Ovis aries: one gene and its partners. The protein of the gene in region 3 interacts with the protein of the main gene of each other region in a pairwise test. Links are inferred from orthologs where the notes say so. Each region holds a gene or a part of one and is shown on either strand. Other genes may lie near its edges. The genes, in order: INPP5D, BAHD1 and KHDRBS3.

Region 1 (4,029 bases), on a different chromosome or scaffold from region 3:
CACCTCGGATGCAGAGGACCCGATTCGAGTTGGGGCTTGCCTGGCCCTGGTGCCTGGATGCGGCTTCTTCTGTTATGTCACGGGGCTGGCTGAGGGCTGAGACAGGACCAGGGGTCTTGTGCAATAGGTCGGCACCTGCCCCTTCACCCTGGGGCACTGACCCAAGCACTAAGGGCTCCCCGTCTGGGGTCCAAGCATGGTGCCCACTTCAGAGCCCTCAGAGCCTGCTGATCCTGGATGGTGGTCCCCACCTCCCCAAAGGCAGCCCTCACTTTGAGCTGTGGACCAAGGTAACCATGCCTGGCCACCTCTACCTCCAACTCCAACTCTACCTGAGATGTGGGACTCAGGAAGGAACGCCATCCTTGCCAGGTGGCCAACTTGCCCCAGGGATAGGGGGACATGCGTGAGTGTCCCAAGTGTCCCAGAAAGTTCCAGAGGTGTCAACCTGCAAAAGGTCCATGTCCCGAGAGTCCTCCCAGCTCCCTCTGCGTGTCCCTAAGCTGGGCTACAGGGGTCAGGCACATGTGCTGCCCTGGAGAAGGGCTGCCACGGGCTCCCACATACCCGCCGGCCCCCACAATGGGTATAAAAGTGTTGCAGAGCTGGCCCCGGGGAGCTCCCGGGTGGTGTCGCCCAAGGTCTTCCCAGCTCCCAGGGCTGAAAGGTGCCCAGGTGTGTCTCAGTATGAGTAGGGGGCTCGGCTGGTACCCACCTCGGCGGGGGTAGTGGGGCAGGCCTCAGCCCCAGTTGAGAAGCCCGACCCTGTGAGCCTCCGACCTGCGGGCATGTCAGAGGGAGTGGACAGGGAGGTGGAAAGCTCAGGGGTAGGGCAGAGGGCTGGGGTGGGCGTCCTCGGCGTGGCAGCCCCACTCGGGGCATCGGGTCATGGGTCCCAGAATGGCCAACCCTTGGGCCTCACTCCTTCAGAGGCTGGCCCTGAGCCTCCTGACGCCAGAGGAGCTGATAGATTCCCCTAGGAGGACTCGAGCTGATATTCCCCATGCCAGGGACCAAGACCCATTAAAGAAGGGAGCCGGGGGTGGGGGACACGGCAGGGCTGGGGGTGGTGGTGAGAGGGAGGGGCAGCAGGCCGTGAGGGGGGAGGTGGAGGACTGTCTTGCTTGGGCTCTGCAATGAGGAAGTTCTCTGCAGCTCAGCTTCCTTTCCCTTGCCGAGTGCCTGAAACAGGAAGTCGGCCAGTGAGCGGTGGCGGCGGCAGCAGCAGCTGGGGCGACTGAGAGGGAACCCACGGGGGTCCAGCGCAGGAGCGCCCAGCTCCCCCGTCGGCGCGGTGTCCGGTCCAGTGGTGAGGCCGCCGGGCCCGGCCCCGGGGACACCCGCGCCCGCCATGGTCCCCTGCTGGAACCATGGCAACATCACCCGCTCCAAGGCAGAGGAGCTGCTCTCCAGGACGGGCAAGGATGGGAGCTTCCTCGTGCGTGCCAGCGAGTCCATCTCCCGGGCCTACGCCCTCTGTGTGCTGTGAGTACCCGACCTGCCCACCCCGGCCCGGCCTGGCAGCGGAGGTGATGGAGGTGCCGCTTGTGCACAGGGCAAGCTGGCTCGGGGCACGTTGGGGCCCCTGCCCTGGGTTGGGGTTGTTTCTGTGTCCAGCGACCTTGCGCTTCCCAAGTTTGTTAGTGGGTCCAGCTGAGGCCCGTCGGGGGACCTGCTTGGCCCTGGAGTTGGGGTTTTGAGAGCAGGAGCCCTCCAGGGCTAGCCTGGGATCTGGGCCACACACCCCAGCGACCAGCAAGCAGCAGGGCCAGGGGCTTCCTTGAGGTTCCAGGGACCAAGGGGGTGGGGGGCGGGTTGTCCAGGGCCTGTGAGCCGGGCGGAAACTCAGGGCTCCGTGGTGGTGGGAGTGTTAGAAAGCAGCTGGGTCAGTTCAGGTGTTGGTCAAAGATGCCCAGTTGGGAAACCCTCCTGGAAGAACAGAAGTGGGAAGCGGGAACCCTTCCTGTGCCAGAGTATGGGCCTTTGGAGGAAGCTGTTGTCTGGGGAGCTGTGAAGACGGGGAGTCGCTCAAGAAAGGATCAGAGGCTGTATCTGGGGCCCTGGGAACAGAGCAAGTCATGTTACCTACAGCAGGAGCCACTTCTCACCCGTCCAAGGCCCTCAGCCGTGTCCCCGCCTTTTGAGGCCTGTCGGCCACCGTCGACTGCCCCCCCCCCGCCCCCAGCTCTGGGATGCTGCTGAATGCACCAGTTGTCCTAAAACTGGGGAACCGGCCACTTGCTGACGGTTCCTTTTTGTAACACCCTTCTCCACCAATGTCTGAGAGAGGCCCTTGGCCCTGCCACTCTGCCACCCTGCGGTCTAACCATGCCCGCTGGGGCCTCGGGCATGATGGGGGAAGGGCACGTTCACCTGCACTGCTGAGGTAGCACCCCTGGGCTTGCGGAAGGGTCCCTCTGAGCAGGCAGACCCTACCACCATCCATGCAGGAGGGAAATGGGTCATGGACCACAGACTGTATTTGGAGCTTGTTGAGTTTGAGCATTTGTCTGTGTATCAACCTATTTCAACCTCGTGAAAATCTGAAGTGCAGGTCCTTTTGTTGGCCGCTTTTGCAGATGAGGAAATTGAGGCTCAGACGAGTTAACCGAGCGATGACAAAGTCAACAATGTCCGTCCCCAGAGGCTGCACCCAGGCAGACAGATGGCTGCCACCCCAGTCCTGTACCTGTCAAGCCGGTGTGAGCCTGGGTTCCAGTGGCAGCGAGAGAAGCCAGGGTGTTTACCGGGGTCAACTGGGAGTGTTTAGAAATTAACCCAGGCTTTTAGCCGGCCACCTGGCCCAAGGTCTGACTGCATCAGAGCCTCGCCCTCCCGAGGCCAGCTTCTTGAGCCCCCAGTTCTCACACCCGGGGTGGGGGGAAAGGGAAGCAGACCCAGTCTTCCCCACAGGCACAGCCCCTCTGTAGAGACAGGGCGTAGAGACAGTGGGGACATCCTGCTCTGTCTCCCCTCAGCCCACGTGCAGCTCTCCCCTCCCCGCAGAGACCTCGGGAGCTTCCAGGCTCCAGCTCACTAACCTTCACAGCACCCCCTTGACCAGGGAGCTGTGGTCAGGCTCAGGCTATAGATTGGAACGTGGGTCTCTGACTCTAAACTGGGAGCCTTGTGCCAGCCAGAGACAGAGCTAGGAAAAGCCATGAAACCTCTAGGCCCACCGCCCCTGACTTTGCAAGTGGGCAGACCTCAGAGAGCTTGAGGCCTCTGTCCACGCCGCCCTGCTGTGTGTGTGTGTGTTAGTTGCTCAGTGGTGTCCGACTCTTTGCGACCCCATGGACTGTATACCTGTCAGGTTCCTCTGGGATTTCCCAGGCAAGAATACTGGAGTGGGTTGCCATTCCCTTCTCCAGGGGATCTTTCTGAGCCAGGGATCGAACCCAGGTCTCCTGCTTTACAGGCGGATTCTTAAGCGTGGGGGCCACCAGGGGAGCCCCCACGCTGCTGGGCTGGCTGGTGGCAAACTGGGACCCCAGAGGGTGTGTGGCACCCGTTCCTCTCTTTTGCGTCTTCTTCCCTCCCCTCCCTGGTGCTGAGTTACTCTTGGAGCCTTGGCGACTGTGCGGGGTCTGCCTCCTCGGGAGGGTATCCGTGGCCCACACCCCACCCCATATCCACCATCCTCTGAGTCCAGGGCTGGGTTTCTTGTCAGTCTCCCAGCCCCAAGGCCCCTTTAGCTCCAGACAGCAGGCCTTGCAGCCCTCCCCAGGGAGCCCAGCCATGAGGCCAGGCACTAACTCCAGGCCCAGGGCTCCCCTCTCCCCTTGGCTCTGTGGGGGGAAGTCAGCTTCCCACAGGGGCAGGAACCCCTGTAGGATGTGGGATACCACGAACCGCCGAACTTTCCAAAACCCTGGGAGACCTCCTTTTGCCACCACCTTTAATGTTGCCAATTAAAGAGATTTAAAAACGAAAACCTAGCTAAGTGATATCTAACTGCCACCTTTTAGCCGTTCATTTCATGAAAGCATCCTTTAACGGCACCGAAAAGGCAGGAAAAACGTGCTCTTA
Region 2 (3,389 bases), on a different chromosome or scaffold from region 3:
GGAGTCCCAGCAGAGTTCATGTCCATCTTGCTCTTGGAGTTAGGTGCTTCCCACCCTGGTAGCCAACCTCCTTCTGTCTCCCCTTGAGCCTTTGCAGAATGAAGTTTTTGCATCGCGACATCAAGACCAGAACAGTGTAGCCTGCATCGAAGAGAAGTGCTACGTGCTGACCTTTGCCGAGTACTGCAGGTGGGTGGCGCCCTGTACCCCTGGCTTGCCTCTCCCCTCAGACTCCCCAGACTATTCGTGGGTTGCCTGTGATCCCCAAGGGGATTTGACTCATTGGACCTGACCTCCTAGAACTTTTTTCCAGTCTGCTTCCATCATCTGATTTTTATAGGAAAAAAAATAAAATCGTTCCCCTTTTGAGGCAGAGTGAATTGGGACAGAGTTTCAGGGTTGGGGATGGTTACAGTACTGCTGTCAGAAGGCAATCAAGGAGAACTGGCAGGTGTTTGGTAGGGAGGTTCAGTAGGTGTGGGTCCCCAGGGACCAAGAAGATGGAGTGGTGGTTGGCAGAGAGGGCATAAGCCCCAGGACAGGAATGGAGGCAGCAGCTGCCCTTGGGGAGGCTGGAGGGGATGTCCAGCTCTCTGGGCAGGGTGGGGAAGGAACTGGTCTTCCTGCTAAGACAGCTGTGAATGGTGTGTCACTGCAGATTCTGTGCCATGGCCAAGCGCCGGGGCGAGGGGCTTCCCAGCCGAAAGACAGCACTGGTGCCCCCATCTGCGGACTACTCCACCCCGCCACACCGCACAGTGCCCGAGGACACGGACCCTGAGCTGGTGTTTCTTTGCCGCCATGTTTATGACTTCCGCCATGGCCGCATCCTCAAGAACCCCCAGTAGCCTCCTCACACCCATGCTGGGGCTGCCCACGGGCAAATGGGGCTCAGGGCAGGGGGCACTGCTTGAAGCACAGCACTTGGTTAAGGGGCCACAGGAGCTCAAGGTGGCTGGCCTGTGGTTCTCTTGTGGGGGAGGGCAGGGGCCCCTGTGGGATTGGGCCCCATGGGAGGGAAGGGGAGGTCAGGGTATAACAAAAGCATCAGAACCCTCAGCTTGGCCCAGGGTGCCTCTCTGGGGTCCACGGGCAGAGGCTCCTAAAGAAGCAGTCTTCCCTGAGGCTGGGCCAAGCCTGAGGGGCATGGGCCCTGGAGGGACTGGGGGAAGGTCCTTCAGGAACCATGCCCTTCTTGATCCTCCCCTGGGCCCTTCAAGGGGGCATGGGAGCCAGCTTTACCTCACCCACTGTGACCCGCTGCCTCCCCATTAGCCTGGGACCAGGCTCTCCCAGATTCTAGCACAGCTCGGAGCCCATTCCTTTGAGGCCTGGAGAGCCAGTGTCTGGCTCCCAGAGCATTGACTTTCTCTTCCTGGACTTGGGGCCTTTCTCTGGCATTCCTCCTTTGCCCTTGCAGTAGCCCTTGGTGCTGGGACAAGTTACCAGCCCTCACAGTCATGGGTGTGGCCCCCTCGTGGGAGTCAGCTTCCTGTCCACCTCCTGGTGAAGGCCACCCAGCAGGTCTGGCTTCCCAGAAGTTAACTGATTAACACGGGCTTTGTCATGTCTGGGAGAGCAGAAGAGAGCTGGGAGGGGGTGGGGGCAGGGGGCAAGGAAAATTGCTACCTGATTTATTGAAGACTTCTCCTCTTGCCTTACACTTGGAGGTTCTAGGAAACCTCTTGCAGAACTTCACACATGACTCTTCAAGCCACACCCACCTGAAATCAAACCAAAGGAGTGCTGTGGCTCTCTTTGCCCCTGACACCCCTTTCCCTAGTCTTTTGTAGATTGCACTAATTTACATCCCAGCAAGAATCAACACTGTATCAGTCCACAGACCTGCTGAGCTGCAGCCACTCACTCTAGGAGCTAAGGACCTGCATTTTTAGTTTGTTCCTCTTGCCAAGGGGCCCTGTTGTCACCTCATGCCACTCCCCAGAGTAGATTAGGAGGCTCAGCCCCCTGCTGTCCTTGCCAGGAGTAGGCCCTGGCCCTGGGGCACTCTGTGGGGCTGGAGCAGCCTGGTTCTTTCCTATTTGTACCAAAGAGGAGCCTGACGGGAAGAGGGAGTGTGGCTTGGGCCTGGTGTTGGGCGCATGCTCAGCAATTCTGCAGGGTACCACCTTGGGGACAGGAGCCAAGCAGGGCAGGACTGGGTCCCCCTCCCCTAGAGAGGGGCAGACAGACCCCACAGGCTGAGGAGGTTGCAGTGGGTGAGGACAGTTGGGCAGGAGCTGGAGAGGCAGGTGGAAGCAAACCCTGAGGGCACACCCAGCAGTCCCCAGCCCTGCCCTGTCCCTGCGCAGACGGCTCCTCCTGGACCATTCAGAGGTGAATTCACACATGGGAAACCCAATCTCAAACCCCAAGGGAAGAAACTTGGGTCCCTTCTTACTGAATAAGCTGTTTGGAGGAAGACATCAGTCAAGGAGGGTGGGGCAGTAAGAGAGGGTGGCAGAGTGAGAGCTGCTAAGGAGCCCAGCCTCACCCAGCAGGAGGAGGTCAGGCCTCCTCCAGGGAGGTGGGGTCCATTGCCCAGAACTTAAATGCTTTTGAAATCTCTTAGATGTGGAAATATTTTTTGAACCTGAAAATGCAGCTGGTAGAATTTCAGTGGAAGCATAATTCATGTAAAATATATTTTAGTTGATATTTTGTAAAATGCACTTTTTGTGTGTGTCGACCCTGGTTTCTCAGATCTGTATTTCAGTGTTTACAAGGGAGGGAGGGCCTTTCCTCACCTCCCTTTTGACAGAGATTAGAAGTACTTCTTTAAGAAAAAAATAAATTTGAGACATTGTATTGATTTAGAAAAGGACCATTTTCTGCGTGTCCTGTCATCTTTTTGTGTGTGGGCTCACACCTCTTTATTTTGGAGGGGCTCCTTAACTATTGCAGTGCAAGGACTCACTGAGGCCAGTAAGCCAAGAGCACAGGAAAGAGGAGGGCGGGTGGAGAGCAGCAGCAGGAGAGGACACAGAGGGAATGGCAACTTGGAGTTGATTTCTTCGCATCGTGGTAGCTGAAGCCACCTGCCTGGGCTGAGGGAAATCCTCGGGTCACCAGTTCTTACCTGGCTGGTGACCTGGGAACTCACCTCCAATTGGTTGCATGGTGAAGATACTATTTCATCACCTTCAGTCATGCCCCTGGAGAACTGGTCAGCAGAAACTGAGGGCCTTGGCATCTTGCACCTGTCACTCACGAGGAATTGAAGGCCACATCATGAGGCAGGGACTCAAACCTGGACCATTGGTTCAGTCAATCCAGCCCTCGCCCCAAAGCCTCAGTGTTGACTGTGTCCAAGGTGGGACGTCGTCTAAGGCTGGGGGTGTTCCTTGGAGGCAGTTAATGCTGCTCAGCTGTCCCCTGCATTTTGGAAG
Region 3 (4,321 bases):
CTAGGGGTGGAGCTTGAGAATGAAGGAAGTTCACACTTCGGGCTGGGACCTAGAGCAGCGTAGAGCTCCTTGATTCCCGCCCCAAGCATCTCTGGGTATAGTGTGTGCTCAGTCACTAAATCGTGTCCCACCTGATGCTTTGCGATCTCACGGACTGAAAGAATACTGGAGTGGGTTGTCATTTCTTTCTCCAAGGCATCGTCCCAACCCAGGAATTGAACCCTGAATCTCCTGCCTTGGCAGGTGGATTCTTCCTCCCATGCCATCAGGGAGGCCCCCCTTGGGTGTTGTCACCTCTATTTGCATCAAGAGTACAGCCAGTTGCCTGGGGGCTTGGGAGGAAGACCTGCTCCCAGAGGAGTGGCATGTCTATGGCTTATTCCTTCATCACACATTTCTGGTGCCCCTACACCCGTCCTAGGCCACTAGGTGCTGGGGATCCTTCCCCATAAAAGAAAGCTCTAGCCCTGTCTGTGAGGTGCTCATGGTCTGGGGAAAACAGAATCAGAGTTCTCCGTGAGTGAGGCCTGACCAGCGCTGGTGGGACACAGAACAGGTACCACTTTGTTGGGGAAGTCCTGGAAGGCTGTCCAAGAACAGGGACGTAGAGGCCCGGACTTGAGGTGGGATATGATGGGGCAAAGGCAGGACAGACTCGGAGTCTTCGGGCCCCGCCACTGACTCTACCTGGGATATCTGAAAACGGTCCGATGGAGGATTTGTCGAGGTGGGTGGCTGTGCGTAAACGAAAGGAGGACGGCAGCACCCACGTGCGTCCAGGGGACTGCGCCCCAGAGGGGACGGGCTGCGGCTCCCTGCCCCGCCTCCGGACTCGGCGGATTTCTGCGCGAAGAGAATGACAACCCGGCGGCAAGCGGAATGACAAAGCCGACCTGAAGGGCACGCGCTTTTATGTAATCGACCTCGGTTCCAAGGGTCTCACGGGTTGGCGCTGAGCGCAAGAGGCACCCACCGAGGCAGGACGGCTGGGCGCCCACGTTATTTCCTAGCAAACAGGAGCAGGGGAGGCAAAGCGAGCTAAGTTATGGAAGTCCAGGGAGCTTGAGAGCAGGGCAGCTCGCCCCGCCGCCCTTTCCCAGAGCCCGCGGCGGCGAGCCCGGGTGCTCCTCGGCGTCCTTCTCCGCCCGGCCCCTGAGCCGAGCGCGCAGCCCTCCTCCCGGGATCGCTCGCTGGGTGACCTTGGGCGAGCCGCTTGACCTCTCTGGGCGCAGTTGCCCGGGTTCTGCGTCTCGGCCCGCCGTGGCCGAGCCGCGCGGCGCTCCGCGCACGCCTCCCAGGGAGCTGCGGACCGGCGCGGCGCCGGCGGGAGGCCCCCGGGACGCCCCTCCCGGGCTCGGTCGCGTAGCCGGGAGCGGCCCCACCAGGCGGCGCGCCGCAGCGGGCGGCGGGCGGCAGGGCGCGGGGCACAGTGCGCAGGCGCGGCGGGCGGGGCGGGGCCGGGCGCGGCGGGCGGGGCCGGGCGCTCGGCTCCGCGGCTCAGAGAGCGCGGGGCGGCGCGCGGCGTGCGGGTCGCTGCTGAGCTCCGCGCCGGCGCCGGCTGGCGGGGCTCGCCGGGGACTGTGTCCAGTTCGCGGAGCGCGCCGCCGGCTCGGCCGGAGGGCCGCCTGATCGCTCCGGCCCGTGGCGGGAGCGCGGAGCCCGCGTCTGGGAGGCGGCGGCCGCCAGCGCGGGGCCGTCGGCGGCCAACCCCCGGGGACCAGGGCTGCGCGGCCGGTTCCCGCCCCGCGCCGCCGCCGCCGCCACCGCCTCCGCCGCCGCCGCCGTCCCCGGGCCGACTGCTCGGCTTGGCTCCGCCGCGCCCCGCGCCGCCCCACCGCGGCGTCCGGCCCGGGTTCCGCGCCGCTGGGGCGCGGGCGGGGTCGGGGGTTGCGGGGCCGCCGCCGCCGCCCGCCCGCCTGGAGTCCGCGTCCCGGGCCCGGGCGGCCGGCGAGCATGGAGGAGAAGTACCTGCCGGAGCTGATGGCGGAGAAAGACTCCCTGGACCCATCCTTCACGCACGCCCTGCGGCTGGTGAACCAAGGTGAGGGCGCGCGCCGGCCGGCTGGCCGACCGACCGACCGACCGTTAACGGTCGCCCACGGCCGTTGGGGACCCGGGAGCGGCGGGCTGGGGGGAGGGGTGGGGGGCTGGAGACTGGGGGGCGTCGGGCCCGGGGGCGAGGCGCAGGTGTTGGGGGGTGCGGAGCCGTGGCAGCGAGCTGGCCGTCGACCTCGGGGCGACCGGAGGGGACCCAGGTCGCAATCTGGCGGGGGGCGCTGATTCGGGTGGGGATGTGGGACACCTAGGGGAAGCCGGAGTGTTGTGTGCGCGTTGTGGGGAGACGCGGGAAGGGAGGCAGGCTGGGCGTTTGGATGCGACTTGAAGGGAATCTGTGGGGGACTCGAGGGTACCCCAGGGAAACTTGCGGGTGGGGCACCACGAGCATCTGGGGGCTTCGTTGGGGCGGGGGTTGAATGAGCTCATTGGAGGGGAGAATGGGGCGGTGGGGGGCACCAGGGAACTAGTTGCGTTTGGTTAGAGAGCTGGAGAAAGAACTCGAGGAAAATGGAAGGATTCGAGGGGATCGGAAGCAGAAGAGGTGAAGGGAACAGGTGCTTGGATTGTTGGTGAAGTTTGAGGACCTCGGAAGAGGTTTGGGGTCAGAACCCCCGGCACGTTGGAGGAGCAGGGCCCGCTTTCCCGGTTCCCTCTTCATTCCTCTCTCTCTCTCTCTCTCTCTCTCTCTTTCTCTTTCTCTCGCGGGTCCGGGCTCTCGCCGCCCTCCCCGCGGGTGGGCAGCTCACACCTAGCCTTGCAGGCCGGCCCTTGGAGAGTCATCGGGGGGCGGGAAGAGACCCACGCAGGAGAGTCTGCTTCTTGACTTGCCTGTCCTCTCTCTGGGAGGCTCTGGGTGGGTCACCCTCACTGGGGGCCGGCTCGGGGTTGAGAACACTGGCCAAGGAGCCTTTGCTGCTTGTGCCATTTTAGCGCGCCTCGGGCCAGCTCAGGGCGTGAGCCGCCCCGGGAAGTACCGGACGCGGGGTGCCCCGGCGTACGGAGGCGTGCCCGCCCAGGACGGCGTTCCCTGGCTTGTTCCTTCTCCAGCTTCCCGAGTAATCTGCCGGGATGGACGGTAAATGAAGCCCGCCTTCCCCAGAGCGATGTCCTTCATCCCCTCCTGGATCTGGAATGCGTGTTTCAGATAAAGATGGGTTTGGGAGCCGTTGGTATGCTTTTTCTCTGGGTGATGGCACAGACCATCCGGCAGAGGTTATCCCGTCAGATCTGTTACCTTTTGCACGAATCACTGTGCCTTGAGGGTCTGTGGTTCCCGACTCAGCCGGGTCTGCTGATCTTCATGCTGACCCTGGCTTTTTGATTGTTGAAAGTGGAAGATGAGGCAGACATATTCTATTTGAATATAGGTGTCTATATTTTACAATAGCGACCTCCGGTATTTGCCTATTGCAACCCGTTCTTCCTAGTAGGGTGTGTGTGTGGTCGAGTGAGGGTCTTGGTGGAGGGACTGACTGTCTGCAAGAATTTAAGCTTGGTATTTAATTTGTTGAACAGAGATGGGTTCACTGAGCTTTCCCATTTTAATTGTAGGCTTATTTTTATTTCTTTAATAAAACGGGCTTGTGAAAAAGTAATGGCTATGCGTTGCAGAAAGCGAATTTTAAGTTTTATTGCCATGCTCTTGTGAACAGTTGGGTTTGTACTCCTCTCTCTTTGTGATTTACATATATCTTTTGTTGCCTGCTGGGCTGTCATCTCTATGAAAGAAATTTCTTTGTACGTTGTGTGAGATCATTGGCATTAGAAATATTCTGGATTGTGGAATGAAGTGTATTTTTCTGAATAAAGAAGCTGAGTCAAAGTTAGGTTGTACTCAATTAAAGAAGCAGTTTTAACAAAAGTGTAGTAAGTTATCTTATTTTGAAAGTCAGAACTAATTTTCTGTGCCAGGTTGCTGTGGCATTCATTTTGCTAATACATTTGGAATTCTTTTGGTTTCTTTGTTTTTACCTGTGGTAATTGCTTCCAATTATTTGAAACAGATCTTGGGCAATGTTGCCATTTAGTTGTTTTTTTTTTTTAGGTGTTAAACCTGATTACCTTACTTTTTCATCAAAAATGTAATTCTTGCAAGAGGTACATTTCTTACATTGAACAGTTAGGGAAGTAACTTATTCAGATATTCTTATTACTGTTAATTTAGATTTCTTCAGACTGAAATGTTTTCCCCTTAAATCACAGGCTGCTTTCTGGAATGCAGAGCTCTATCATTTAAAATATTAATTATGCTGTTACGTAACTC

Evidence for each region.
Region 1: the proteins of KHDRBS3 (region 3) and INPP5D interact in binary tests that used the Homo sapiens proteins (3 or more experiments, as listed by UniProt). The two-hybrid records come from large-scale screens. The link is inferred for Ovis aries from reciprocal best matches to the Homo sapiens genes KHDRBS3 and INPP5D.
Region 2: the proteins of KHDRBS3 (region 3) and BAHD1 interact in binary tests that used the Homo sapiens proteins (3 or more experiments, as listed by UniProt). The two-hybrid records come from large-scale screens. The link is inferred for Ovis aries from reciprocal best matches to the Homo sapiens genes KHDRBS3 and BAHD1.

The regions. Positions count from the first base shown.
Region 1 is NC_056054.1:7,901,907-7,905,935, reverse strand, and holds the start of INPP5D (phosphatidylinositol 3,4,5-trisphosphate 5-phosphatase 1), read left to right. Parts: upstream 1-1,188; 5' UTR 1,189-1,351; coding exon 1,352-1,485; intron 1,486-4,029. UniProt on the Homo sapiens protein: Phosphatidylinositol (PtdIns) phosphatase that specifically hydrolyzes the 5-phosphate of phosphatidylinositol-3,4,5-trisphosphate (PtdIns(3,4,5)P3) to produce PtdIns(3,4)P2, thereby negatively regulating the PI3K (phosphoinositide 3-kinase) pathways.
Region 2 is NC_056060.1:34,276,752-34,280,140, forward strand, and holds the end of BAHD1 (bromo adjacent homology domain-containing 1 protein), read left to right. Parts: intron 1-88; coding exon 89-189; intron 190-658; coding exon 659-848; 3' UTR 849-2,824; downstream 2,825-3,389.
Region 3 is NC_056062.1:19,608,860-19,613,180, reverse strand, and holds the start of KHDRBS3 (KH domain-containing, RNA-binding, signal transduction-associated protein 3), read left to right. Parts: upstream 1-1,499; 5' UTR 1,500-1,953; coding exon 1,954-2,041; intron 2,042-4,321. UniProt on the Homo sapiens protein: RNA-binding protein that plays a role in the regulation of alternative splicing and influences mRNA splice site selection and exon inclusion. Binds preferentially to the 5'-[AU]UAAA-3' motif in vitro.